4 linked regions of the Stegostoma tigrinum genome follow. The protein of the gene in region 2 purifies or fractionates together with the protein of the main gene of each other region. This does not show direct contact. Links are inferred from orthologs where the notes say so. Each region holds a gene or a part of one and is shown on either strand. Other genes may lie near its edges.

The links.
Region 1: the proteins of csnk2b (region 2) and ark2n purify together in Homo sapiens (co-immunoprecipitation; 3 studies listed by BioGRID and IntAct, with this or other methods). This does not show direct contact. The link is inferred for Stegostoma tigrinum from reciprocal best matches to the Homo sapiens genes CSNK2B and ARK2N.
Region 3: the proteins of csnk2b (region 2) and phrf1 purify together in Homo sapiens (affinity purification with mass spectrometry; 3 studies listed by BioGRID and IntAct, with this or other methods). This does not show direct contact. The link is inferred for Stegostoma tigrinum from reciprocal best matches to the Homo sapiens genes CSNK2B and PHRF1.
Region 4: the proteins of csnk2b (region 2) and rnf111 purify together in Homo sapiens (co-immunoprecipitation; 3 studies listed by BioGRID and IntAct, with this or other methods). This does not show direct contact. The link is inferred for Stegostoma tigrinum from reciprocal best matches to the Homo sapiens genes CSNK2B and RNF111.

Annotation. Positions count from the first base shown.
Region 1 is NC_081354.1:162,137,679-162,144,683, forward strand, and holds the start of ark2n (uncharacterized protein C18orf25 homolog), read right to left. Parts: upstream 3,004-7,005; 5' UTR 2,502-3,003; intron 1-2,501. UniProt on the Homo sapiens protein: AMPK substrate important for exercise capacity and skeletal muscle function.
Region 2 is NC_081387.1:27,161,753-27,168,842, forward strand, and holds the start of csnk2b (casein kinase II subunit beta), read left to right. Parts: upstream 1-4,090; 5' UTR 4,091-4,261; exon of another isoform or gene 4,262-4,376; intron 4,377-4,407; exon of another isoform or gene 4,408-4,540; intron 4,541-7,090. UniProt on the Homo sapiens protein: Regulatory subunit of casein kinase II/CK2.
Region 3 is NC_081370.1:35,569,741-35,577,535, reverse strand, and holds the start of phrf1 (PHD and RING finger domain-containing protein 1), read left to right. Parts: upstream 1-4,787; 5' UTR 4,788-4,923; intron 4,924-7,795.
Region 4 is NC_081386.1:17,461,183-17,468,052, reverse strand, and holds the start of rnf111 (E3 ubiquitin-protein ligase Arkadia), read right to left. Parts: upstream 3,013-6,870; 5' UTR 2,809-3,012; intron 1-2,808. Other genes in the region: sltm (SAFB-like transcription modulator), read left to right, coding at 4,115-4,390, 5,258-5,339. UniProt on the Homo sapiens protein: E3 ubiquitin-protein ligase. Required for mesoderm patterning during embryonic development. Acts as an enhancer of the transcriptional responses of the SMAD2/SMAD3 effectors, which are activated downstream of BMP.

The sequences.
Region 1 (7,005 bases), on a different chromosome or scaffold from region 2:
CAAGTCTACAACCTCATCCTGCTGCATCCTTTAAGAACATCCCTCAATATCCACAAGTCAACTATTTTTGGGGCAGCACAGTTATTAATAAGACCATATGTATTTTCATCCAAATCATTTGGATATATCACACAGTGATCCTTGCAGAACACCACTAGCCACAGTCTAGTCAGGAAAAAACCCTCCAAGCTACCCTCTGTCTTCTATGACCAAGCTAATTTTGTATCCAGCTTCTCAACTTACCATGGATCTGGCATTACTTAATCTATGGATCTGTTTATTGTGAGGGGTCCTGTCCAATACTTTAGTAAAGTCTATATTGACAAAATCCACTGCTCTACCCTCAGTCACTTTTCAGTTTTTTGAGGAAGTCGTCAATCAACTTTGAGAGTCAAGACCTTCCCTACACAAACACACGCTGACTATCCCTATTAAGTCAATTCTTTGCTAAATGTGGGGTAAATCCTGTTCCTGAGTATGTTCTCTAATAATTCCCCTATCATGATAAGGCTTGTTACCCTATCATTTCCTGAATTATCCCTCTTGCTGTTCTTAGACAAAGGAACATTAACTATTCACCTGTGGCTAAAGGGGATAGAAAAGTCTCCATCAAGGCCCTAGCAATCTCCTTCCTTGTCTCCCTCATTATCCTGGCATAGATCTCATCAGGCCCTGGGGCCTTATGTATCTTAAATGTTTTTAAGGCGTCCAACATCACCTTAACATCAACCTGCCCCATAATACTAACAGATCCTCCCTAAACTTATCATCTATCCCTTCTCCTTGATGAACACCAATGCGAAGTACTCATTAAGGACATCACCCACTCCTAATTGAGGGCAGAGTGTTAATAAAATTTGAGAAACATCTCAGCATCTCCAAATACTGAACGTCCCTGTCATTGGCACTACCCTGTTGAAACCTCCTCACATCCTTCCTAAGTGCATCCATTGTTAGGAAAAACCTGCCAGGAGTGATGCAAAAGATGCACTGAGATCACAATTAATCCTTCAAACAAAGGTCGAACGGGAGAATAAAACCGGAGTGGAAATAAAAGATGCCTGCAACCTTAAAGTTTACCAGCGACGTAACTTAAATAGAGAATAGATGACAAACTACTGGTGTGTGAAGATTCTGCCTTATTTATATACCCATTCTTGATGTCTTTTCACCTGCATGTCAATCTTCCCTTTCTGTCTGTCTCTGTCTCTCTCATTACTGCCAATGTCCATCTCTTCTAAGTTCTTCCTATCCTGCTCCCAAACACAGATCTTTGACTTGCTTTGTCTCCTGTCCCTTTAGTTTTTCTGAATCACTGCATCAATTTCTCTTTTCACTATTTATCTGGTCTTCTGCTAATCTACCAGCAGACCTTCTTTCGTTAGTTTATAGTGTAAATCCCAAAGACTTTTAGTTGGACATTAAAAGCCCCAAGTCATCACAAAAAAGGATATCACCTAACACAAACGACTTTTAAAAACGGGTTAATTCATATCATGTTACTACTGTCAATTGGGTCTTGGAGCTAATACATGTTGTTTGTTTGTGTCAGATCGTATTTATATACCCATTTCTGCTTGCTTATGTGTATCTCAATAATCTTCCTCTTATGTGGCTTTTACTTCATCAACTCATTCATCAGTTTCTGTACATAGCCCCTTCCAGTTTTTACTTTCTCAGTGATATTCACATCTTCCTTCCCCATTTCTCCTCCTTCCATGATGACATATCACTACAAACAGTGGCTCAGTGGTTAGCACTGCTGCCTCACAGTGCCAGGGCCCTCAGTTGACAGTGTGGAGCTTACACATTCTCCCAGCGTCTGATTTGGTTTCCTCTGGCTTCCTCCTACAGACCAAAGGTATGCAGGCTAGGTGGATTGGCAATGCTAAATTGCCTCTAGTGTTCAGGGATATGTAGATTAGGTGGGTTACGAAGGATGGATCTGGTTGGGATGTTCTGAGGGGCAATGTGAACTTGTTGGGCTAAACTACCTGTTTCCACACTGTAGGGATTCTATACAAAATAAAATAGTAGGGCACATATCCCATCGCATCTACTACATCATTCAATATCATGAATATTCATCTGATTGCAGCGTTAAATAAACTTTCCTGCCTCCCTGCATAACCTTTAGTCAACCAAAAAGTTATCCTATTTGAGCCCTGAATATATTCAATGCCTCAGACTCCAATGCTGCCCTGGGAAAGTGAAGCTGATCCTCAGAAGTTCTTCCTCATCTAAGTCTTAAATAAAAGATCCTATATACTAAAACTGTGACCCCGAGTTTTCCCTCGCGAAAGGAAACGTCCTCTCAAACCTCACCAATATTACACACGACCAGCATCAGATCACCTCTCATTCTTTTAAACTCCATTAGGCCTAACCTTCCCTCACAAGACAGCCCCTTCATTTCAGAGGTCCATCCTCCGCCTCCACCCTTTTCTTCTTCTCCATTCTGTTCTCTTTTACCCCTCTCCTTTTCTCTCTCGGTTTCTTACCGTTTGAAGTCTGGATTTCTCTCGCTTTTCCAAAACAAGCTCACTTCCGCTTTTGCGCGCTGCGGGTTTACCGGCGCAGCGCGCGTCACTCATGGGCGAGGGGGCGGTCCTTCCGCGGACAACGACGACGACACAGAAAATAAAACAGGGAAACGAATGTCGCGACTCGCAGCGGCCTCTTTATCTCTCCACTCACATCAACCGCCTACTGCCTCTGCAAAATGGCGGAGACGCCGGTTCGGAACACACAGGGTTTTAAACTGCCCTCGGGCTTCCGGCCTCTCGAAACCCTAATTCTAAATCTCAATTGAGCGTCCAGGAACGCGGTACTGGAGCGGAGATAAGGTGCAGAAAGCATTTGGGGGCCGGACCGACGACATGGTCCCGGCCTGGGTCTACCTCCTCCGCCCGCCGCTTCTCACAAAATGGCGGACGCTCCACCGGTTCCAGAAGTGAAAGGTCCCCGGCGTGCAATCCGGAACCAATTCTCCGAGATCTCCAAGTTCCTATAGCAACGTCGTCGTTCCGGCCTTTTCAATACCCCAGCCATTACCACCATTTTAGATGAAGCGTTTTCACTTTCTTACAAAAACGGCTTCGAAATCAATCCAGAACTCTCGAACCTACAACACTTAAAAAAACTTCATCCTTTAAAATTTCCAAATTGCATTAAAACGCTTCTACTAAAATCATTTTGCTCGCGTTAGCCCTAACAGCATGCAAGGACGTGAGGTAGCCCTGGAAATTAATCGTGACGTTTACTTTCCTATTTTTAAACGATAATTTTGTTGAACATCGAATACCGCACAGGAGCAAGGATAGTGAGAACTGCAGATGCTGGAGAATACGAGATAACAAAGTGTGAGGCTGGATGAACACAGCAGGCCAAGCAGCATCTCAGGAGCACAAGAGCTGACGTTTCGGGCCTCGACCCTTGTTCAGAGAGAGGGCAGTGGGTCGAGGCCCGAAACGCCAGCTTTTGTGCTCCTGAGATGCTGCTTGGCCTGCTGTGTTCATCCAGCTCCACACTTTGTTATCACAGCACAGGAGCAGGTCCTCTGGCCCCATATGTCTGCGACCACGATGCCATCCTCAACTGAACCCACATGGTGCATAGATAATAAAATGTGAGGCTGGATGAACACAGCAGGCCAAGCAGCATCTCAGGAGCACAAAAGCTGACGTTTCGGGCCTAGACCCTTCATCAGAGAGTCTCTAGGCCCGAAACGTCAGCTTTTGTGCTCCTGAGATGCTGCTTGGCCTGCTGTGTTCATCCAGCCTCACATTTTATTATCTTGGATTGTCCAGCATCTGCAGTTTCCATTATCTCTCCCCACATGGTGCATATCTTTCTATTCCCTGATATAACAAGGTGTAGAGCTGGATGCCTCTATTTCCTGCCTATTCATGCGTCTAAATGCTTCTTAAACATAGCTATTGCACCTGCTTCTACCACCTCCCCTGGCAGCATGTTCCAGGCATCTACCACCCTCTGTGCAAAAAAACAACTTGCCTCCAATCTCCTTTAAAACTCCCCCACTCACCTTAAACCTATGCCCCCCCGTATCTGGCATTTCCACCCTGGAATAATGTTTTAACAAAGGACTGTAGCTCAGGTTGCAGTTGGAGTTGTTGGTTTGTTGTTTCTCGGAGCTGACTGGTTTTCGTGCAAACGTTTCATCTCCATTCTAGGTGACATCAGCAGTGCTGTGTAGCCTCCATTGAAGCGCTGTTGTTCTGCCCCGCTCTGAATTTACATGTTCTGGTTTGTCATAGTGGGCAGTCTTGTTTCCGGTTTTTGTCCAGAACGGGTCGGAAGGCAAAGCCAGAGTCTGTTTGAGTATATGACGGAGTAAACTTACTGGTGCAGAAAACACTGCAAAACTTAAAAAAAAACTAATTAATTTTAAATAATTAACTAACTAGAGAAGCAGGTCAGGTGATGCATTCTAGCTATATGATGTGGGAGCTAGCTGATCCCATTGAGAACAGCAGTGACCACATCAGCAGGTGTTGGCTGCTTGAGGAACCTCAGCTCAAAATTGATGAGGTGGAATCCGAACTCCAAACACTGCAGCACATCTGGGAGGGAGAGAAATACCTGGATTCTGAGTTCCAGAAGGCAGTCACACCTGGTAGATTAACTAATGTTAATTCAATTGGCAGGCAGGGACAGCAGTGTGTGACTGTGAGTGAGGCAGGTAGAGGGTCCCTGCAGACAGGAACACAGGAGCCAGGGCCTTGACATTGTCCCACCGGTATGAGGCACTTGCTTCCTGCATGGATGAGGAGCAGGGCTGCAGGAAGGATGAGTCAATTGACCATGGTACCATGGCCCAGGAGGCCATTCAAGAGGGAGGGAGCTAAAGGATAGACTGTAGTTGTAGGGGATTCCATCAAGAGGATAGACAGTATCCTTTGTGAGCAGGATAGAGAATCCCGCATGGTGTGTTGCCTGCCCAGTGCCAGAGTGCGAGACACCTCTGACAGGCTTGAGAGGATACCAGAGAGGGAGGGGGAGGATCCAGTTGTTATGGTCCACGGAGGTACCAACAACATAGGTAGAACTAGGAAAAAAGACCTGTTTGTGGATTATGAAAAGCTAGGAAAAAGATTTCTAAAAAAAGGTCTTCGAGGGTCATAATCTCTGGATTGCTGCCTGAGCAACATGCAAATTGGCATAGGGAGGCAAGGAGAGGATCAGGGAAGTAAACTTGGGGCTGAAAGAGTGGTGCGGGAAAGAGGGTTTCCTTAACATGGGGCACTGGCGTCAGTTCTGGGACAGGAGGGATCGATACCGATGGGATGGACTCCACTTGAACAGGGCCAGGTGCAGTGTTCTGGTGAAAGGGGTACATAGGGTGGTCAATAGGACTTTAAACTAGTAAGTCGGGGGGAAGGGAGAAGTGAGCGTAGAAGGAGAATAACAATGTAAGGCAAAGCAGCAGGCTGGCAGGTGACAAGAGCGCTTCAGCTCCATTGAAAATTAGAGAAAAAAAGTTAAAAGGAAGGAGAACTCAAGAGCTGTTAGTAATGGAGGTAACAGGACCCAAAAAGAAGGTGCAAAAACTGTCACAAGGGCACTTTATCTGAATGCTCGGAGCATTCGAAATAAGGTGGATGAGTTGATGGCGCACATCATGGCAAATGTGTATGATTTAGTGGCCATTACAGAGACATGGTTACAGGATGATCATGACTGGAGTTAAATATCCAGGGGTATCAAACTGTTTGGAAAGACAAACTGGAACACAAGGGAGGTGGTGTTGCTCTGATTTTTAAGGATGATATCAGGGCAGTAGTGCGAGATGATATAGGTTCTACTGAATAAAACATACAAATCCATTTGGGTAGAAATTAGGAATAGCAGGGAGACGTCACTGTTCGGTGTGGTCTATAGGCCACCAAATAATGGCATCGTGGTGGGGCAGGCAGAAAAATAGCTAATGCATGTAAAACTGGTATAGCAATTATCATGAGGGATTTTAATCTACATATCGATTGCTCAAACCAGGTAAGTCATGGCAGTAAATTGAGGAGGGGTTCGTAAAATGCGTTCACGATAATTTCCTTGAACAATATTTAATGGAACCTACGAGGGCCCAAGCCATCCTAGATCTAGTCCTGTGAAATGAGATAGGGATAATTAATGATCTCAACAGTTAGGGATCCTCTCAGAAGGAGCGATCACAGTACGGTCGAATTTAAAATACAGATGGAGCGTGAGAAGGTTAAATCCAGTATTTATGTCCTGTGCTTAAACAAAGAAGACTACGAAAGAATGAGGGAGGAGGGATATGAGGGATATGAATGGGAGCAAAAACTTTATGGTGGTTCAATTGAGGAACAGTGAGGGAATTTCAAAACGATTTTTCACAGTGCTCAGCAGAAGTATATTCCAGTGATAAGGAAGAACTGTAAGAAAAGAGAGAGCCAGCCATGGATGTCTAAGGAAATAAAGGAGAGTACCAGATTGAAAAAAAAACAAAAAAGCAAAGACTAGTGGGAAATTAGTAGACTGGGAAGTCTTTAAAGGCCAACAGAAAGCCACAAAAAAAGTTAGAAAGAAAAGAAAGACATATTATGAGAGTAAACTAGCTCAGAATATAAAAACAGGCAGCAAAAGTTCTGCGATTTACATATTTATATAAAGAGTGGCAAAGGTAAACATTGGTCCTTTAGAGGATAAGAAGGCTAATTTAATAACTGGGAATGAGGAAATAGCTGAGACATTAAACAGTTATTTCATGTCGGTCTTCACATTAGAAGACACAAATAACATGCTGAAAACTAATGGCAAGAAGGTTATAGCTGGTGAGGACCTAGGAAATATCATTATCACTAAGGAGGCAGGGCTGGGCAAGCTATTGGGAATAAAGGCAGCCAAGTCTCCTAGCCTTGATGAAATGCATCCCAGAGTACTAAAGGAGGTGATAGGGGAAATAACAAATGGACGAGTAATTATTTACTAAAATTCACTGGACTTTGGGGTCGTTCCCACAGA
Region 2 (7,090 bases):
TCTGTGAAAACCTTCTCTCTCAGCTCGCTTTGTCCAAACTAAAATGCATAAAAAGCCAGGTGCTTTCGCTTATAGGGAAGGTGACGCCCTAGTGGCATTATCACTGAACTCTAAACCTAGAGACCCAGATAATGTTCTGGGGACCCAGGTTCGAATCCCGCCACAGCAGATGGTGGAATTTGAATTCAATAAAACACCTGGAATTAACAGTTGGCAGTCTGAAGGGTATACCAGCAGCTAGCCAAATAGAACAAAGAAAATTACAGCACAGGAACAGGCCCCTCGGCCCCTCCAAAACGCACTGATCCAGATCCTCTAAGCCTGTCAGCTATTTTACAAGGATCTGTATCCCTCTACTTCCTGCTCATTCATGTATCTGTCTAGACACATCTTAAAAGACGCTAACGTGTCTGCGTCTACCACCTCCACTGGCAACGTGTACCAGGCACCCACCACCCTCTGTGTAAAGAACTTTCCACGCATATCTCCCTTAAAAACTTTCCTCCTCTCACTTTGAACTCATGACCCCTTGTAATTGAGTTCCCCACTCTGGGAAAAAGCTTCTTGCTATCCACCCTGTCTATACCCCTCATGATTTTGTAGACCTCAATCAGGTCCCTACTCAATCTCCGTCTTTCTAATGAAAATAATCCTAATCTACTCAACCTCACTTCATAGCTAGCACCCTCCATACCAGGCAACATCCTGGTGAACCTCCTCTGCACCCTCTCCAAAGCATCCACATCCTTTTGGTAATGTGACGACCAGAACTGTACACAGTACTCCAAATGTGGCCGAATCAAAGTCCTATACAACTGCAACATGACCTGCCAACTCTTGTACTCAATACCCTGCCCAATGAAGGAAAGCATGCCATATGCCTTCCTGACCACCCTATTTACTTGCATTGTCACCTTCAGGGAACAATGGACCTGAACACCCAGATCTCTCTGTTCATCCATTTTCCCGAGGACTTTTCCATTTACTGTATAGTTCACTCTTGAATTAGATCTTCCAAAATGCATCACCTCGCATTTGCCCGGATTGAACTCCATCTGCCATTTATCTGCCCAACTCTCCAGTCTATCTATATTCTGCTGTAATTTCTGACAGTCCCGTTCACTATCAGCTACTCCACCAATCTTAGTGTCATCAGCAAACTTGCTGATCAGACCACCTACACCTTCCTCCAAATCATTTACATATATCACAAACAACAGTGGTCCCAGCACAGATCCCTGTGGAACACCACTGGTTACAGGTCTCCAATTTGAGACACCCCCTTCCACTATAAATGTGTCTGATAGGGACAACGTAGAGAGAGAACTTTACTCTGTATCTAACCCCATGCTGTAGCTGTCCCAGGAGTGTTTATTGGGGGATGACTGTGAATCCATTGTCAATTGTTGGGAAAAACCCATCTGGCTCACTAATGCCGTTTAGGGAAGGAAACTGCCAGCCTTACCTAGTCTGGCCTACACGTGACTCCAGACCCACAGCAATGTGGTTGACTCTAAACTGACCTCTAGGCAATTAGGGATGGACTATAAATATGGCTGAGCCAGCGACACCCACATTCAATGAATAAAAAAAATTTAAAAGCCACGCAACAGCAAAACACTCAAATAGCAAAGAAACAAAACCTGGAAGTGCCTGGGAAAGTCACTTTCTGTTTTTATTTCAGCTTCAACTATATAACTTCCAGGAAATATCTTCAAAATAAAACCAGAAAAAATCCCAAAGCCTTTTGAGTGATCTATTTACAGAAGGGGAAAGCCCAGGTGTCACTTCTGCATTACAGATGGACCAATCCTTCAGACACAGGCACTCAAAATGAACCTCAACAGCGCAAGTGCCTTCATACCACCACCTGATTGTCTCTAAGGGGGAGATGCCGTGTTGAGCATGATCAGATCATTAATCCTGGTTTTCCAATGCCTCCGCGGCACCTCCCCTCATTCTGTAATTGCCCCCAGACTCACAACCCTCCAAATACATGCTCCTCTCAGCCTGATCTGTTGGTCATTCTCACACAGTACCACACCAGGGCCATGCCTTCAGATTCCCAGGCAGCAAACTCTAGCTTTGGAATTGCACTCTCCTTGCCTTCCCACCTTACTTTCCTCATCCCAAACCGGCCTCTCTCACCAAACTTCCATCGTTGTAATCTAAATTCTCCTCACATGGCCAGATGACCCGGCTTTGTTTCATCTGCTTCCCCCAAATACTCAGGCAGTCCATCAGAACCAGGGTAACTTGTCTGAACTGGTTCCAAGGTGTTAGGCTCGTCAGTCCCACACTCAGCTGTCCTTACACAGTCTGATCTGAACAGGGGGAAACCAGACCCACAGCCAATTGTTTTGGAGGGAGCGAGGCGGCATACTTAACACTGAAAATGGCCCAGACTGCAGACCCACAGCAATGTGGCTGACTCTTAGCTGCCCTCCAGGCCATTAGGGATGGGAAACAGAGATAATGGGAACTGCAGAAAAAGGGTCTGAAGAACGGTCTATGCCTGAAACGTCAGCTTTTGCGCTCCTGAGGTGCTGCTTGGCCTGCTGTGTTCATCCAGCCCCACACTTTGTTATCAGCGATGGGAAATAAATGCTCCCTAGGCAGTGACACCCACATGAAGAGACCAAGGATGGGCATGTGAGGTGGGGGTGGGGGGCGTGACGATGAGGTGAAATGGGTGATGACCAGGAGGTTAGGTTGGCTGTTACGAGCCAGGTTAAGGTGCTTGGCGAAACAGTCACCAAGTGTACATTTGGTCTCACCAACAGAGAGAAGGCCACATCGAGAGCACTGAATGCATAGACTAGGTTGTGGGAGATACAGGTGAAGCTCTGTCTCACCTGGAAGGACCGTCTGGGGCCACAGTGGGAGTGGTTTGTGGGCAGGTGTTGCATCTATTACAGTTACAAGGGAAGGTATTGGGTCGGAGGGGTTGGTGGGTAAGGGTGACTGGAAGTCGGTCATGTCTGGGGCGGGGCGGGGGTTAGGGAAGATCGGAAGTGGGTCATGCCGTGGTGGGGGGGGGTTGAGGAAGTGTGACCGGAAGTGGTTCATGCCATGGTGGGGGGGGGTGTTGAGGAAGTGTGACCGGAAGTGGGTCATGCTGTGGTGGGGAGGGAGGGGGTTGAGGAAGTGTGACTGGAAGTGGGTCATGCCATGGTGGCGGGGGAGTTGAGGAAGTGTGACCGGAAGTGGGTCATGCCATGGTGGGGGGGGGGTGTTGAGGAAGTGTGACCGGAAGTGGGTCATGCCATGGTGGGGGGGGGTGTTGAGGAAGTGTGACCGGAAGTGGGTCATGCTGTGGTGGGGGGGTTGAGGAAGTGTGACCGGAAGTGGGTCATGCCATGGTGGGGAGGGAGGGGGTTGAGGAAGTGTGACTGGAACTGGGTTATGCCATGGTGGGGGGGGGGGGTGTTGAGGAAGTGTGACCAGAAGTGGGTCATGCTGTGGTGGGGGGGGGGTGTTGAGGAAGTGTGACCAGAAGTGGGTCATGCTGTGGTGGGGGGGGGGGCGGATGAGCAAGTGTGACTGGAAGTGGGTCATGCCGTGGTGGGGCGGGGTTGAGGAAGGGTGACCGGAAGTGGGTGGTGCCTGCGGGGAGGGGGTGACCGGAAGTGGGTCGTGCCTGCGGGGAGCGGGGTGACCGGAAGTGGGTCGTGCCTGGGTGCGTGGAGGGGCAGGAAATGAGGAGAAACCCTGGGGATAGGGCGGAGGGACACACAATAATAATGAAAGCCGGCAGATCGGTAACACACGAAACAACTACTCCCCTGACCGGTACATCTTAACGGACTTCTTTCACTCCCACCTCCCCTCATAGAGAAAGCAAACATACGCCCTGCACCCCCGTCCCCCAGATGGGAAAATACACGCGGTTTTACACAGTTAGAGATGTAACACCTACAAGGTAACCGTGGTTAGCCTCTGTGAGTGGGCCGCACGGCGGGGGCGGGGCTAAGGCTAGGCGTCAGCAAGGGAAGGGGGCGTGGCTAGTGTGGGGGCGGGAAGCACTGCGACGTCAGACTTACGTGGGCGGGGCGTGGAATGGGCGGGGTCAGAGCATGTCACGTGGTGTTCCCCGCCCCGCCGAGACCAATCAGAGAGGGCGCCGGGCCGGACGGATCCGTTGATTGGGCTCCGCTCGTCCTTCTGCGCGTTTCCTTTTCGCTCTCGACCGGCGGCTATTATTTTTGACAGCCAGCCCTTTTGTTTAAAAAAAAGAAAACCGCTCGATCCTATTCGATCGGTAACTATTTAACGCGGCGGCCTGAGCGCTTCCGACTACCTCTGTCGTGCGCGGAATCGACGAGCGTTGCGCGGGCGGCTTGGTCCTGCGGCGCGCTGCCTGACGGTAAATGTAGTCGCGGGGTTTGATGGCGGTGCACCCGGAAGTGACGCATTCTCTCCCCACCCCCTTCCGCCCCCATTCTCGGGAAGTCGGGCCACGTTTGATGGTGGGTCTTTCCCCCTCGCTCCTCACATCGACTGAAATCCCACGCACGGCCTACAGGCTGCCGAGCCCGAGGTTAGACATCACCGCCCTTATCGCCTGGTTTGTTTCAATGCGGTGTTTTGTTGCTGTGAGCTTCTCCCCCCCTCCCCCATCCCCCCTCCCTCTCTGGGGTAGAGGCCAGGTATGGCTGGTTCTGCTGTTGCATGTCACAAGGAGGAGGACGAGAGATCTTCTGCACGTCGCTCCATGTTTTATGATGAGCCTGCAGGTTGGGGGGCTGGGGCTTAGTGGGGTTTAGTGGGTAGTGGGGTTTAGTGGGTAGTGGGGTTTAGTGGGGCGTAGTGGGGTTTAGTGGGTAGTGGGGTTTAGTGGGTAGTGGGGTTTAGTGGGTAGTGGGGCGTAGTGGGGTTTAGTGGGTAGTGGGGTTTAGTGGGGCGTAGTGGGGTTTAGTGGGTAGTGGGGCGTAGTGGGGTTTAGTGGGTAGTGGGGTTTAGTGGGTAGTGGGGTTTAGTGGGTAGTGGGGCGTAGTGGGGTTTAGTGGGTAGTGGGGCGTAGTGGGGTCTAGTGAGTAGTGGGGCGTAGTGGGGTTCAGTGGGGCGTAGTGGGGTTTAGTGGGTAGTGGGGTTTAGTGGGTAGTGGGGCGTAGTGGGGTCTAGTGAGTAGTGGGGCGTAGTGGGGTTCAGTGGGGCAGTGGGGTGTAGTGGGGTTTAGTGGGTAGTGGGGTTTAGTGGGTAGTGGGGTTTAGTGGGTAGTGGGGCGTAGTGGGGTGTAGTGGGGTTTAGTGGGTAGTGGGGTGTAGTGGGGCGTAGTGGGGTGTAGTGGGGTTTAGTGGGTAGTGGGGGGTAGTGGGGTTTAGTGGGTAGTGGGGGGTAGTGGGGTTTAGTGGGTAGTGGGGCGTAGTGGGGTTTAGTGGGTAGTGGGGCGTAGTGGGGTTTAGTGGGTAGTGGGGCGTAGTGGGGTTTAGTGGGTAGTGGGGCGTAGTGGGGTTTAGTGGGTAGTGGGGCGTAGTGGGGTTTAGTGGGTAGTGGGGCGTAGTGGGGTTTAGTGGGTAGTGGGGCTCAGTGGGGCGTAGTGCGGTTTAGTGCGTAGTGGGGCTCAGTGGGGTTTAGTGGGTAGTGGGGCGTAGTGCGGTTTAGTGCGTAGTGGGGCTCAGTGGGGTTTAGTGGGTAGTGGGGCTCAGTGGGGCGTAGTGGGGTGTAGTGGGGTTTAGTGGGTAGTGGGGTTTAGTGGGGCGTGGGGTTTAGTGGGGCGTAGTGGGTAGTGGGGCGTAGTGGGTAGTGGGGCGTAGTGGGGCGTAGTGGGTAGTGGGGCGTAGTGGGGCGTAGTGGGTAGTGGGGCGTAGTGGGGTGTAGTGGGGCGTAGTGGGGTTTAGTGGGTAGTGGGGCGTAGTGGGGTTTAGTGGGTAGTGGGGCGTAGTGGGGTTTAGTGGGTAGTGGGGCGTAGTGGGGTTTAGTGGGTAGTGGGGCGTAGTGGGGTGTAGTGGGGTTTAGTGGGTAGTGGGGTTTAGTGGGTAGTGGGGTTTAGTGGGTAGTGGGGTGTAGTGGGGTTTAGTGGGGCGTAGTGGGGTTTAGTGGGGCGTAGTGGGGTTTAGTGGGTAGTGGGGTGTAGTGGGGTTTAGTGGGGCGTAGTGGGGTTTAGTGGGTAGTGGGGTTTAGTGGGTAGTGGGGTTTAGTGGGTAGTGGGGTTTAGTGGGTAGTGGGGTTTAGTGGGTAGTGGGGCGTAGTGGGGTTTAGTGGGTAGTGGGGCGTAGTGGGGTCTAGTGAGTAGTGGGGCGTAGTGGGGTTTAGTGGGTAGTGGGGTTTAGTGGGTAGTGGGGCGTAGTGGGGTCTAGTGAGTAGTGGGGCGTAGTGGGGTTCAGTGGGGCAGTGGGGTTCAGTGGGGCAGTGGGGTGTAGTGGGGTTCAGTGGGGCGTAGTGGGGTTTAGTGGGTAGTGGGGTTTAGTGGGTAGTGGGGCGTAGTGGGGTGTAGTGGGGTTTAGTGGGTAGTGGGGTGTAGTGGGGCGTAGTGGGGGGTAGTGGGGTTTAGTGGGTAGTGGGGGGTAGTGGGGTTTAGTGGGTAGTGGGGCGTAGTGGGGTTTAGTGGGTAGTGGGGCGTAGTGGGGTTTAGTGGGTAGTGGGGCGTAGTGGGGTTTAGTGGGTAGTGGGGCGTAGTGGGGTTTAGTGGGTAGTGGGGCGTAGTGGGGTTTAGTGGGTAGTGGGGCGTAGTGGGGCTCAGTGGGGCGTAGTGCGGTTTAGTGGGGTTTAGTGGGTAGTGGGGCGTAGTGCGGTTTAGTGCGTAGTGGGGCTCAGTGGGGTTTAGTGGGTAGTGGGGCTCAGTGGGGCGTAGTGGGGTGTAGTGGGGTTTAGTGGGTAGTGGGGTTTAGTGGGTAGTGGGGTTTAGTGGGTAGTGGGGTTTAGTGGGGCGTGGGGTTTAGTGGGGCGTGGGGTTTAGTGGGGCGTGGGGTTTAGTGGGGCGTAGTGGGTAGTGGGGCGTAGTGGGTAGTGGGGCGTAGTGGGTAGTGGGGCGTAGTGGGTAGTGGGGCGTAGTGGGGCGTAGTGGGGTTTAGTGGGTAGTGGGGCGTAGTGGGGTTTAGTGGGTAGTGGGGCGTAGTGGGGTTTAGTGGGTAGTGGGGCGTAGTGGGGT
Region 3 (7,795 bases), on a different chromosome or scaffold from region 2:
AAATTCCTTGGAGTGAATGATAACCAACTACCTGTCCTGGGCTTTCCATGTAGAAGCAGCAGTCAAGAAGGCACAACAACACCTCTTCTTCCTCAGGAAGCTCAGGAAATGTGGCATGTCCATATCATCCCTCACCAACATCTACAGATGCACCTTTGAAAGCGTACTGTTCAGATGTATAATGACCCGGTATGGCAACTGCTCTGCCCAGGACTGTAAGAAACTGCAGAAGGTGGTGTGCATATCCCAGACCATCACGGAAGCCACCATTCCATCCATGGGCTCCATTTACACAGCTCACTGCTGCAGAGAGGCTGCCAACATCGTCAAAGACCCATCACACCCCGATAATGATCTCCTTCAACATCGTCTTCCATCAGGCAGAAGATACAGAAGCCTGAATACATGCACGAACAGGTTCAGGAACAGCTTCTTCCCAGTCATTATCAGACTGATGAATGGACTTTCTAGTTTCAAATAACACTGATCCTGCTAAAATTGATCTCATCTAGCACACACCCCGTGCAATTTAACATGTGTGCCTCTGTCTAAGTCTTTTTGATCTGTACATTCTTTGCTTACTATGATCATTCATAAACAAAGCTTTTCATTGTATTTTGGTACGTGACAATAAATCCGTCAATCAATCATCTTGGCGAATCTCCTTTGCACGCCCTCCAATGCATTCGCATTCTTAGAGTCCACAACCCGTAGAAACAGCGACTCTTTGTCTAACAATGTCTCTCATTTAGAGTCAGGGTATAGAGATTTACAGCATGGAAACGCACCTTTCTGCCCAAGTTGTCCATGCCGACTGGATATCCTCACTTCATCTGGTCCCATTTGCCAGCATTTGGCTAATTTTCCTTGAAATGTTATCTATTCATACACCCATCCAGATGCCTTTAAAATGCTGTAATTGTACCAGCCTCCACCATCCCCTCTGGCAGCTCATTCCATACATACACCAACATCTGATTGAAAAAGTTGCCTCTTAGGTCCCTTTTAAATCTTTCCCATCTAACCTTAAACCCTATTCCCTCTAGTTTTGGACTCGGCTACCTAGGGAAAAAGACATTGACTATTCACCCTATCCATGCTCCTCATGATTTTATAAACACCAATAAGGTCACTCTTCACCCTCTGACGCTCCAGGGAAAATAACCCCAGGCTATTCAGCCTCTCCCTTCAGCTCAAACCCACCAACCCTGGTAACATGCTTGTAAATCTTTTCTGAACCCTTCCAAGTTTCAGGACATCCTTCCTATTAGCATGGAGACCAGAATTGAATGCAGTATTCCAAAACTGGCCTAAGCAATGTCCTGTACCATGACCTTCCAACTCCTAGGGCTGGCAAAATGATCCTCTGTGTTGATAAATTGAACAATTTTGATCAAATCATCCTTTAACTGTTTAACTTTTCATTAGAAATATTTTTACTCAGGGAGTACCAAGAAAGTGCCACCCATGAAGTGGTTAATGCAAATAGCACCAGATATACTAACCCAACTGTCTTGTAAATAAACTCTTAAAAAACAAGAACGTTATCAGGAATAATAAAATGTGAGGCTGGATGAACACAGCAGGCCCAGCAGCATCTCAGGAGCACAAAAGCTGATGTTTCGGGCCTAGACCCTTCATCAGTTCCCATCATCACTAATACAACCTTATCAGAAGATTATTTAATCTCAAACAGATCAGAGGTCTTAAAACTTACTTCCAAAAGTATCTCACAAAATACAGAAATTCCTACTTGCTAACATCACATGTTCCACTATTTCCCACACAGCTAAGGAAGGTAAACTGCCAATTCATGTCACATCTGTAATATCAGCCCTATTTGGAATTATGGCTCCAAAAGCCCCATATTCAGTGTATCTTGGCTAGCTGAGTGCTCATAAATCAAAAGTTTTTAAAAAAATGCATAACCCATTGTACAAACTCACATTCTACCTCTCACCCTTCAGAAACTGTGCAGTCTGGTAGATTTAAGTCTCCAAATCTGCATCTAAAGTAAGAAAAACAGAATAGCCAGACTCAATGGGTCTCACTTCTTCCTCCGTGTTAGTGAATCTCTCTAGATTCAAGGGAAGCTGAATCTTGCTCTCTTTAACCAGAATTCTTCTTAAAATTAATGCTTCTCTTTCCAAACTTCCATCCCATTCCCCTCATCAAAGCAGTAAAAGAGCCTGAACTACAATTCCTAGGACAAGCTGCCATATGGTCAGGTTGGAGGGTTTTACCTACAAGAAGAGACTGAATAGGCTGGGACTATTTTCCCTGGAGTGTCAGAGGATGAGGAATGACCTTATAGAAGTTTATAAAGTTATGAGGGGAATAGACAGGGTGAGTAGCCAAGGTCTTTTCCCCAGAGTAGGGGAGTCCAAAACCATTTGGCATAGGTTTAAGGTGAGGGGGGAAAGATTTAAAAGGGACCTAAGGGACAACATTTTCAAACAGACGGTGGTGCATGCATGGAAGGAGCTGCCAGAGGATGTGGTGAAGGCTGGTACAATTGTAACATTTAAAAGACATATGGATGGGTGTATGAACAGGAAGGATTTAGAGGGATAAGGCCCAAATGTTGGCAAATGGGACTAGATAATTTAGGATCAGAGATAATGGGAACTGCAGGTGCTGGAGAATCCAAGATAACAAAGTGTGGGGCTGGATGAACACAGCAGGCCAAGCAGCATCTCAGGAGCACAAAAGCTGACGTTTCGGGCCTAGACCCTTCATCAGAGAGGGGGATGGAAAGAGGGTTCTGGAATAAATAGGGAGAGAGGGTGAGGCGGACTGAAGATGGAGAGAAAAGAAGATAGGTGGAGAGGAGAGTATAGGTGGGGAGGTAGGGAGATAATAGGTCAGTCCAGGGAAGATGGACAGGTCAAGGAGGTGGGATGAGGTTAGTAGGTAGGAAATGGAGGTGAGCTTGAGATGGGTGGAAGGGATGGGTGAGAGGAAGAACAGGTTAGGGAGGCAGAGACAGGCTGGGCTGGTTTTGGGATGCACTGGGGAGAGGGGGCGAACTGGGCTGGTTTTGGGATGCGGTGGGGGAAGGGGAGATTTTGAAGCTGGTGAAGTCCACATTGATACCATTGGGCTGCAAGGTTCCCAAGCGGAATATGAGTTGCTGTTCCTGCAACCTTCGGGTGGCATCCTTGTGGCACTGCAGGAGGCCCATGATGGACATGTCATCTGAAGAATGGGAGGGGGAGTAAAAATGGTTCGCGACTGGGAGGCGCAGTTGTTTATTGCGAACCGAGCGGAGGTGTTCTGCAAAGCGGTCCCCAAGCCTCCGCTTGGTTTCCCCAATGTAGAGGAAGCCATACCGGGGACAATGGATACAGTATACCACATTGGCGGATGTGCAGGTGAACCTCTGCTTAATATGGAAAGTCATCTTGGGGCCTGGAATGGGGGTGAGGGAGGAGGTGTGGGGGCAAGTGTAGCACTTCCTGCGGTTGCAGGGGAAGGTGCCGGGTGTGGTGGGGTTGGAGGGCAGTGTGGAGCGAACAAGGGAGTCACGGAGAGAGTGGTCCCTTGTTCGCTCCACACTGCCCTCCAACCCCACCACACCCGGCACCTTCCCCTGCAACCGCAGGAAGTGCTACACTTGCCCCCACACCTCCTCCCTCACCCCCATCCTAGGCCCCAATATGACCTTCCATGGGTCTAGGCCCGAAACGTCAGCTTTTGTGCTCCTGAGATGCTGTTGGGCCTGCTGTGTTCATCCAGCTCCACACTTCGTTATCTTGGTCTGTATCTGTGCTGTACAAGGTTACAGGGCCAATTTCCATTCTGTAATAAACTTTGTACCTAAAGTATAATAGTAAATTGTATGACTTTAAAAAAAAAGACATCTAGTTCTGTGTGCTTTAGGGAAGATAGAATCCCTGCAGCGTGGAAACTGGCCCTTTAGCCCAACAAGTCCACACTGACCCTTAGAGCATCCCACCCTGACCCATCCCCTTATAACCCACCTAATCTACAGACCCCTGATCACTATGGGCAATTTAGCTTAGCCAATCCACCTAACCCGTAACTTGGACTCTGGGAGGAAACCCATGCAGACAAGGGGAGAATGTGTAAACTCCACACAGACAGTCACCCAAGGGTGGAATTGAACCTGGGTCCCTGGCACTGTGAGGCAGCAGTGCTAACCACCGTGCCACCCTGCTGTGGAAGGAATGAAGGGAATATGGAAAAGGTCCACAAGAATGGTTCAAGGTTTGATGAAATTAATCATGAAAATGTATTGAAAAAGACCACCTTGGAGAAAGCAGGGAGGGGGTTTAATCCAAGCATTCAAAATCATGAGGCCTGAGCAGAGTCGTTTGGAAGGATTTTTTTCCCCAATTACGAAGAGATTGACAGTCAAAGCGACATGAGATAAAAAGTTCACACAGCAAGTGCTCAAGGTCTTAAGAACGTATGCAGTGTGGAGAACTCTTCAATACGGGGAAGAGGCAGGGCATGAAGTGAATTGCTTATTCCACGGACCAGAACAGACACGATGGGCCAAACGGCCTTCATTTACGTTGTAACAATTCAACGGTTCTGCTGCCGAGGCTCAGCGAACGCACGTAATGCCAAAAACGAAACACCTTGCGAAGCGTGGAACATCCTCGGGATTTTCCGTCACCGCTTACCCCGCCGCGAGGGTAGAGTTCCGGCTATTTCCGTCACCGATAGCCTTGTTGAGCCGAAGTCGCTCGGCTATTTCCGTTACCATCTTCGCCGAGATCGCTCGGTTGTTCCCGTCAGCGGCTCGGTACCGTCCCGAAGTCGCTCGGTTGTTTCCGTCAGCTGCTCTCGGTGTAGTGCCGAGGCGCTGTATTCGCTGAGTGGCCTGTGTGGCGACTGACTGACAGGAGCGACCGACCCTGGAGCTTCCACCCCAGGGACTCAGAACGGAGAGAGGTGAGTCGGAGGGTTGGACGATCACTAGGTCGGGGGTGAGGGAGGAAGGAGCAATGTCAGAGTCCGGCTAGTCCGATACTTTAGCACGGTACAGTTTGAGGCCTCAACCGCCTCCGTGACAGAGTAATCCAAAGGCCGCGGTTGCTTGCCGGTGGGAAACAAGCCCCGGAGCCGAGTGCCAGAGCCCGCAGGATGAGCTCGGGGTCGGGAAGAACTGTGGGAGATTCGGTGAGGAGGTGACTGGGATGAAGAGAGTCCTTGGTGGAGGCCTGGCTCTGGGTTGCAGCAGGCGTTTCGAGTGGGATACTGCAGAAACTCCAATCCCAGGCCTGTCACCTCATACCAAAATAAACAGGCCTCCCTTTTCACCCGTCGGCCCACTCAGATAACGTGGACGCCTCCAACTTGCAGCTGCAACCCCAAGGCACGGTGTTCCTGTTTTTCTCCGACTGGGATACATATTTAGCGTCTCTGTCTCAAATCTTTTTATGTAGGCTTTCTGTGTAAAGCCTCGCGATATACTTAAGGGGGCCTGTAATTGCTGTCTCGGGTGTAGGGGTGGCGCGGAGCGGGGCAAGAATGTGCTGAAACTTTATAAAGTTCTGGCAAAGTCTGGCAAGGAATGATGTTAAAGTCCTTGAGAGGATGCAGAGGAGATCCTCTAGAACTGTTGCAGGGACTCTAGGTACAGTTTTGGGTCAGTGAAGCTGAAGTTGTTCTTGTAACAAAGGAGACTGTGGAGAGATTCAAGCACAATAAATAGGAGTAGACCATTCAACTCCATAGCCCTCACCTCCCTGATATTTCAAAAGTCTGCCTAACTCCTCTTTAATGAATAAAGGCCCGATCTGGCTAATTTTGAAAAATTAACCCTTTTGTCCAATTAATCCAATGAAACACTTCTGAATCGCCTGCAATGCCAATTTTTTCTTAATTATGTGGATCACTTATGGGAAGCACCTCACAGCACCAGGGACCCAGGTTCAATTCCACCCTCAGGCAACTGTCTGTGTGGAGTTTGTGCATTCTCCCATGTCTGTGTGGGAGGAAACCCACAATCCAAAGATATGCAGGCTAGGTGGATTGGCCATGCTAAATTGCCCATTATGTTCAGGGATGTGTAGATTAGGGGGATGGGTCAGGGTGGGATGCTCTTAGCATTGGTTTGGACTTGTTGGGCCGACGGGCCTGTTTCCACACTAGGGATTCTATGGTATGATTCTCTATGAAAACTGTAGTAGTACTTCAGGTGAGGTCTTGCCAAATTTCTCTATGATGGTAACAAGACTTTCTTATTCTTAAATACCAAACACTAGCAGTAAAAGGCCAAAATTCCACCCACCACCCTAATTTGTGCCTGCATGCCTTTTGTATTTTATGCACAACATCATCCAGATTCTTATGGACCCCACATTTTGGAGTCTCCTTTTATTTAAATATTAGTCTGTCTTTTGAGTCGTGACCTTGCATCTTCCTAAACACAATCTGCCAAGTTATTGCTCACTCACTTACCTTATCTCTATCCCCTTGCTGATTTCTTATGTCCTCGTGGTAATATTTTTATGTTGATTGAAAATTTGGATTCATTACACCCTGTCCATTTCTCTGTGTCATTAATATAGATTATAAATAATAAAAGCTCTAGGACTGATCCTTGTAGTCCTCCACTTACTTACTTGTTTTCAGTGTTTTACCCAATCCATGCTGATACATTACCCTAACTTTTTTTGTGGCACTTTATCAAATGACTTCTGAATATCCAGCTGCATTAGATCTATCCTTTATCAAATTTTCCTCTATCAAATCCTCAGAGAGCTTAAACAGATTTGTCAAACTTGATTTCCCTTTCATAAAACCATGTGGACTCTGAATGCATTAAGCTTTTCTAAACGTTCAGCTATTTCTTCTGTAACGGACTCTAGCACTTTGACAGACGTTAGGCTAATTGGCCTATAGTTTGCAGCTTTCTGCCTCCACCTGGGCAACACAGTGGCTCAGTAGTTTGCACTGCTGCCTCAGTATCAGGTCCCTGGGTTAGATTCTACCATCACCGACTGTCTGTGTGTAGTTTGCACATATTCCCCATGTCTTGGGTTTCCTCTGGGTATTCTGATTTTCTCCCGTAGTCCAGAGATGTGCACGTTAGGTGGATTGGCCATGCTAAATTGTTCATAGTGTCCAGGGGCTTGTGGATTAGTCATGGGAAATGTGGGGTTGTAGGAATAGGGTAGCTGGGTGGCTCTATGTGGGATGGCCTTCCATGGGCCATTGTGAACTCAATGGGCTGAATGGTCTGCTTCCACACCATGGGAATTCTGGTGATTCTATGATTATCCTTTGCTTGAACAAGGGAGTCACATTAAGAGTTTTCTTATCCACTAAAATCTTCATAGAATCCACAGAGTTATGGACTATTTTGACTGCTGCCGCCATATCTCTGCAACCACCAGAACTGCAGATGCTGTAAATCAGGAACAAAAACAGAAGTTGTTGGAAGAGCTCAGCATGTCTGGCAGCATCTGTAAAGAAAATGTGAGAGTTAAAGTTTTGGGTCTGAGGAAGGGCCACTGGACCTGAAACATTAACTCTGATCTTATCTTCACAGATGCTTCCAGACATGCTGAACTTTTCCAGCAACTTCTGTTTTTGTCTCTGCAACCACGTCTGTTAAAACCCTTAAATGAAGGCCATCGGGACCTGGCGACCTTTCTGTTTTCAGTCCTATTAGTTTGTCAAATACTTTGTCCCTTCTGATAGAGGCTGTCACAAAACCTTTTCTCCTATTAGCACCTTACATAACTGGTATCTCTGGAATGTTTATAATGTACTCCATTGTGAAGAATAACATAAAATTATCGTTTAAATTTGCTAT
Region 4 (6,870 bases), on a different chromosome or scaffold from region 2:
ACCATTTGGTGCCTGTTAAAATGAGTGTTTGTCCCTCCGTCTCCTCTCCCCATCCAAGTGAGAACAGGATGCAATCAGATGTGCAGCATACACAGGGCAGTCCCAAACTGTGTGCAATAACTTGTAGGCACCCAGCCACTGTTCTCCATATTAAAGGCTGTGGCTTTTAAAGACTGATGGCTCCCAATTACATTATATTTTGGTAGAAAATCCTAACAGGCCTGCTCTTAGTGGAAGAACAAGACATTATTCAACATCTGAATTATTGCAGTCATTATTCTGACACAAATGTTAATTTAGAAAGTTGATTATTCAATCTCTCCTCAGATTGCTCAAACCAGTGATAAAATGCAGACTGATAAAGGAAGTTGATGCGATTGCACGAATGGACAACTGGTGCTTGCAATCTGGCAGTGGCTATTGCTCTGCTTCACTGCACCCTGTACTTTGGGAGCAATTTTTACTGCATCATTAGATGTACATTCAGAATCCCTCATATGTAACGACTCTAACAAAAATACACATTCACAAGTATGCAAATAATCCAGCGTGAAAATAAAGAACAACTCCAACCTTTGTCTTGGCAGACCGGGCTGGTGAAAACAATGATAGACCAACCGCTTGCCCTAACTGGAATCTACAATCAAGCCAGTCAAGCAAGATCCTATGATTCACTGAGAAGTTACAGCACCGAAACAGGTCATTGTCAACATTTCCATACGGGTGTTTGTGCTTCACATTAGCCTCATTTAACCTCAACTGCCTGTTCTTCTATTCCTTTGTCCTTCATACACTCAGCTAAAGGCATCTACAATATTAACCAAAAATCCTTGCCAATTATAAGTGTCAAGACAGGGATTAGACAACTTGGCTCAAAATAATTGTTGTTGGGCTAGCTTAACAAAACAGAGCTCGGGAGCATTTGATTAAACAAACATTAAACAAAACTACTGGATATCAAATTAAAGCAGGAGTGTTACAAACAACATGTCAGTCAACAAGTGGAAAAATACACATTTCCCAAAACTTGGACACAAGGCAGAAAGCAGCTCTGATGAAATATCTCACCAAAAGTACTAAGCTAACTTTTCTTTTGAAGATACTGAAGGTAATAAAAAGTCATTCTAGTATTGTCTGATCAGGGACTTCACAAAAAGTCAACAATAATAAAAAAAGCTTGAAGGCAGATTTAGATCAAAACTTAAGTGCAACTTTGAAAGCTTTATTTTATTCCACTTCTGTAAAGAGCTTCAAAATTTATAGATTCAAACTCTATGATTCAAAGTCCATATTGAAACAAGACAGTTAAACAACTGAAAATAAAAATTGGATCTCTTCAAGTAACCACTTAAGTATTCAAAATACCACACAGTTGCAACATCCATGCCAAAACCAAATTCTACCTGACAAAAAAAATCATTGAAACAAACACAAAACCGTGTGTGAAACATTTGCTTCAGCAGTTTTTTTTTTAAACAACAGATTGGTTTACCGAAGGCCACAAATAAACATATGACATAGCTTTTCTGATGAAGGGTCTAGGCCCAAAATGTCAGCTTTTGTGCTCCTAAGATGCTGCTTGGTCTGCTGTGTTCATCCAGCTCTACACTTTTGTTATCTCAGATTCTCCAGCATCTGCAGTTCTCATTATCTTTGATATCACATGGTGCTGTGTGGCACACAGGCCAAACAAATTTCAGATTTTAATGCAAACAAACTTAATTTTCTGTTACCCATTATATCCTACTAAAAAGCTGTACATATAGTACTTCAACATCAAACCATGTCACAATTCCCCTGGGTTGTGACCTGCTTCCTCCTCTGAAAATAGTATAAATATTACTGTTCATACACAGAACTACATCACACACAAAATTAACTGATTGCTAATTATAAATATTTTGTTCTTCATCTCATAAAGGACATAAACCTACCTTACAGTCACAATAAATATTAGTGATGACAAATTAAACTTAGAAACAATCCTGTTATTGACAGTACAATCAAAAATTTAAACTGGACCTGAGAAGCACTTCTGTACTTTCTTTGAGGTTCAACTCTGACTCTAAAACCCAAACTGTTCTTTGTAAAGTATTTTAAAAAGTTTTTTTTCATAGGGTAGACACTTCAAAGTATAAAATGAGAAAAATGTTCAAAGCAAAAAAAATTTTTAAAAAAACACAAGAACATGTTGAATGTCAAGCTTTGACAGACTAATTTGAAGTATGCACTAGAATAATCACGGGCAACACCAAACTAAAACTGATACCTTCCATCGTCAAACCTTGGCTGTGGTGTTAAAATTAGTATATAAGGCAAATGCAGACAGAAATCACCCTCCAAACACCTTTCTCCTCCTCTATACGGTACACTGCAGGGTTCTCAATCAATCAACAGACATTCAATTGCTGTTGAGAATCCGACATCGCTCCCCGGCAACCACCAGCTGGATACCTAAATTTTACTACGCCTTGAAAAATGCAAAAAATATTGTAAGATTTATCTAATGATCAGTTACGATTCAAACTTCTGCAACACCCCCCCCCCCCCTTTCCTATTCTGTAAATTCTGTTGAGGAGTTGTTGATGTTGTTGGGAAGGCGGGGGGATCACTCTCAAACATCTAAACGTCAGCAGCTCGAAAGGCGCTCACCAGGCCAGGTCTTCATCACGACTTTTTTTAAAAGAAAACGGTCGCGAATGGAGAGAAGATTGCGGGGAGGAGTCGGGGGGAGTGAATTAAAATTAAAGAGGATAGACATTTTTTACACTTCCAAATATTGGCGAATAATTTCGGAAAAGAGCTTACCGAAGCTTTTCTGTAAGGTGCTGGCCGCCTCGCATTATTTCCACAAGGCCTTATTCAGATATTTCTGGGAGGATTTTAAGCCTCTTGTTTACAGAAACCCCCAAACGACGAAGCTTCGCTGCTCAGCCCGGGGTTGCTCAATGCATCGGACGGGGCAGCTCCACCTTCACGACACGGCCCGCATCTGCTTTGCGGCCTCCCTTCCTTTCCACGACACAGCCCGCATCTGCTTTGCGGCTTCCTTTCCTTTCCACGACACAGACCGCCCTTTACTTTCCGGCGCTTGACGGCTGCATCGCGCACGCTTTACGGCACCGGCTTTGTTTGCCGTTCCCAAAACGTCAATGGTACGAAAAGGAGCACGTTTGCCTCTAAGTTTGTCGCCTGTGGGATGGTGAAATCGGACCCGCCTGCACCGCTGGTTTATCGCCAGGGGTCTTCCGACTTCCCACAACACGATTTTAGGAAAATAGGGAAATTCCGGCGCATGCGTAATTTTTCCAGTTTCTACCATAACAAATGCCCTGCCTTTGTATAGCGCCTACTAATAATGCTCTTAAAAATCCTGGGTGTTTGGTGCGAACATAAACGATATAAAGATTACAAAGATAATAGGGACCGCCGATGCTGGAGAGTCTGAGATAACACGGTGTAAAGCTGGATGAACACAGGAGGTCAAAGCAGCAGGAAAGTTTGACGTTCGGGACCTCGATTATAAAGATTAAGCGGCCCAAGGAGATTTTGGTTGTTGATTCCGAAGAAAGATCACTGGACACGAAACGTAACGTTTCCTTTCGCTCCGCAGATGCTACCAGACCTGTTGAGTTTTTTCAACTTATGTTTTTTGGTTGTTGAGCATTGATTACAATTAAAGAAAGGTTGAGGAAGTCATTTTTAAATCGTTTCAACGTTTCGATTAAGTCATTGAAGTGTTTTTTTCCCTCATTCGTGACCATCCACGACACCACTAAATGTTGGAAATACTCAACATTTTTAAGAGGGCAAGCAAGGAGGCAACACAGAGAAATTTGACGCATCGTGTTTCTCAAATTATCTTCAGAATCGTTTAATTGAAAATGGTTTGTGAAACATTTATAGTTAAGAAGCCTGGTGCTCAAAGTGCCTTTCGTGCTTTCATTTAGTGATAATCTGCGTTCCCGCTCTAACTCCACAACACGCTATTCCCGCCGCAAAGCAGGCTACCACCGCGCTCCAGCAGCCATCCGGGTCCTTGGCCATCCGGGCATGTGGGGTGGGGGTGGGACAATGCCATCCGTGCTCCCGTCACGGTTGGAATCCCTGACGGATGAGGGCTGGGCTAGGTATCCGGGGCGGACTTCGGCTGAGTCTCCTTCCCGGGGGGGTGGTGGAGCTTGGTCATCCGGGCTCCTGTTGGGGGTGGAGCTACGCCGCTCGAGCTGCTGCTTGCTCCGTGAAGACGCCTGAAATGGCTGCCGCTCCTAGTCCGAATGAAGCTCGGCGCATCACAGACTTGCGTGTCGTAGATCTTAAATCCGAACTCAAGCGGCGGAATCTCGACATTAGTGGCGTTAAAACCGTTCTGATCGCCAGGTTAAAACAGGTGTGAGAAATCACCAAAGTCAAGGAGAGGGAAGGAAGTCGGCGCTGGGGTTTACCGCCGTCACCTTTAGGCCTCGGATGAAGCCTAACCCACTTTGCTCTGCGCAAATTTTAATGGCTGCTTCGGCGCTCACTGGGTTAAATGTCTTGCTGACCGGTGACAAATAAATCTTTGCGAATTAAATATTCACTGCATGGTAAAAGTGCTTGAGATCTTGATTAAAAGATCCTTTGCCTTTTGTTGGTTTTCAGTATGATTAAACGTGCGAAAAGACTGCTTTTTAATCCAATGAACGTTTAATTGACGCCTTTTAGTTGTTGATAGCTTTTACTTTTTTAAAGAAACACAACCAAAAGCTACCCACTTTCTGATTCTCATGATCTGTGAAGTTGAATGAATAAACACTTGAAGTGGTATGCTTTATTTCATAACTTTTGTTGAAAATTTATAACCTGGAGCCGTTAAATAAATTAATCTTCTTCTTTGACTACCAAATAGTATTTTGTTCATTCATTGGGGTGCTTTTTATTGGGTAAGCAAAGATAAATAAAATTCACGTTGGTTGGTTTCCAAGTCGGACATTTGCACTGGATTTGTTACATAGTTAACGCGCAGAATTTTATTTTGGGTGTTTTAAGAAAATCACAGGGTTGAAGCCCAATATTTACCTTTAAGACTAACCAGTTGCAGTGAAAACCTTTTAGTTGACGCTATTTGATTGTAAAGTATAAGCATTTATAACATGTCATGTCCATTTTCAGAAATATGCAACTTTTCCTCATTTAGTTTCAATTCTTAATATTATTTTTCAACGAGTTGATTGAGTTTTTGGGAAAAGAAAACTTGCATTTGTTGCTACCAAAACAGGTAATAGAAGAGGAGGGAGGCGATCCTGATAACGTGCAGCTCTTTTCGGATACGCCTTCAAAGAAAACACCTAAAAGCAAAGGTATCCCACCTTTCTTAATTTGTTGTGTATGATTTTGTAACAAAGGGTTAACTTTATTAATATACTTTCTGTTTTTAACCAAAATGTAAATACTGAACTTGGTGATGGAGAAATAATGAAACAACCTGAAGGTCCCAAACATCTGCCCTTTTTAGTTGATGTCAATTATGGATTTGAGAGGTGCTGCTGAAAACTTGAATGACCTGACAAAGGAGTTAGATATTTAGGTTGTTGGGTGAAATGCAAATTTTGTAGGCTACTTAACCTTAGATGGTGTTGAGTGGCATCTGTGACATTTCTGTCAAGTTGGGAGTGTTGCATTGTGCTCTAATCATTTGATTTTAGGGAGCGCAAAGACTTTAACAATTCATTAGGTGAGCTATTCTGCCTGGACTATTGAAATTCTGATCTGCCTTGCGGCTTATTAACGGTGATTGTCTTTTCTAGAGATGTTAATGGTCAGAGTCGAAGACAATGTTATCGAGGAGATTAGGGAGATACAGGCTATTAGACTAGATGGGATTGAGGTTCACAAGGAGATGGTGTTAGTAATTCTGGAAGGTTTAAAAATTGATAAGTCCCCTGGGCCGGATGGGATGTATCCTAGGATTCTCTGGGAAGCTAGGGAGGGGATTGCATTAGAAGATTAGGCTTTATTGGTAGAGGGATTGAATTTTGGAGCCATGAGGTCATGTTGCAGCTGTACAAAACTCTGGTGTGGCCGCACTTGGAGTATTGCGTACAATTCTGGTCGCTGTATTATAGGAAGGATGTGGAAGCATTGGAAAGGATGCAGGGAAGATTTACCAGGATGTTGCCTGGTACGGAGGGAAGGTCTTATGAGGAACGGCTGAGGGACTTGATGTTTGGGACTTGATGTTTTCGATACAGAGAAGAAGTTTAAGAGGTGACCAAATAGAGACATACAAGATGATCAGAGGATTAGATAGGATGGATGGTGAGAGCCTTTTTCCCTGGATGGCTAGTATGAGGGGGCATAGCTTTAAATTGAGGGGTGATAGATTTCGGACAGATGTCAGAGGTAGGTTCTTTACTCAGACAGAAGTAAGGGTGTGGAATGCCCTGCCTGCAACAGTAGTAGACTCGCCAAGGACGTTTAAATGGTCATTGGATAAACATATGGAGGATAATGGAATAGTGTCGGTTAGATGGGCTTCAGTTTGGTTTAAACAATAGTAGGCCATTCGGCCCTTCAAACCAGCACCACCATTCATTATGATCATGGCTGATCATCCACAATCAGTATCCTGTTCCTGCCTTATCCCCATAACCCTTGATTCCAATATCTTTAAGATCTCTATCTATCTCTTTCTTGAAACTACCCAGAGACTTGGCCTCCACTACCTTCTGGGGCAGAGCATTCCATATATAGGTCAGTGCAACATTGAGGGCTGAAGGGCCTGTACTGTGCTTTAGTGTTCTGTGTTCTCGAGTCTTCATGATATGGCCACTCAATGCATACTCTTGTTGGCTTGTGTACTTAGCTTAAGTCTGCATGTTCTGCAGTTTG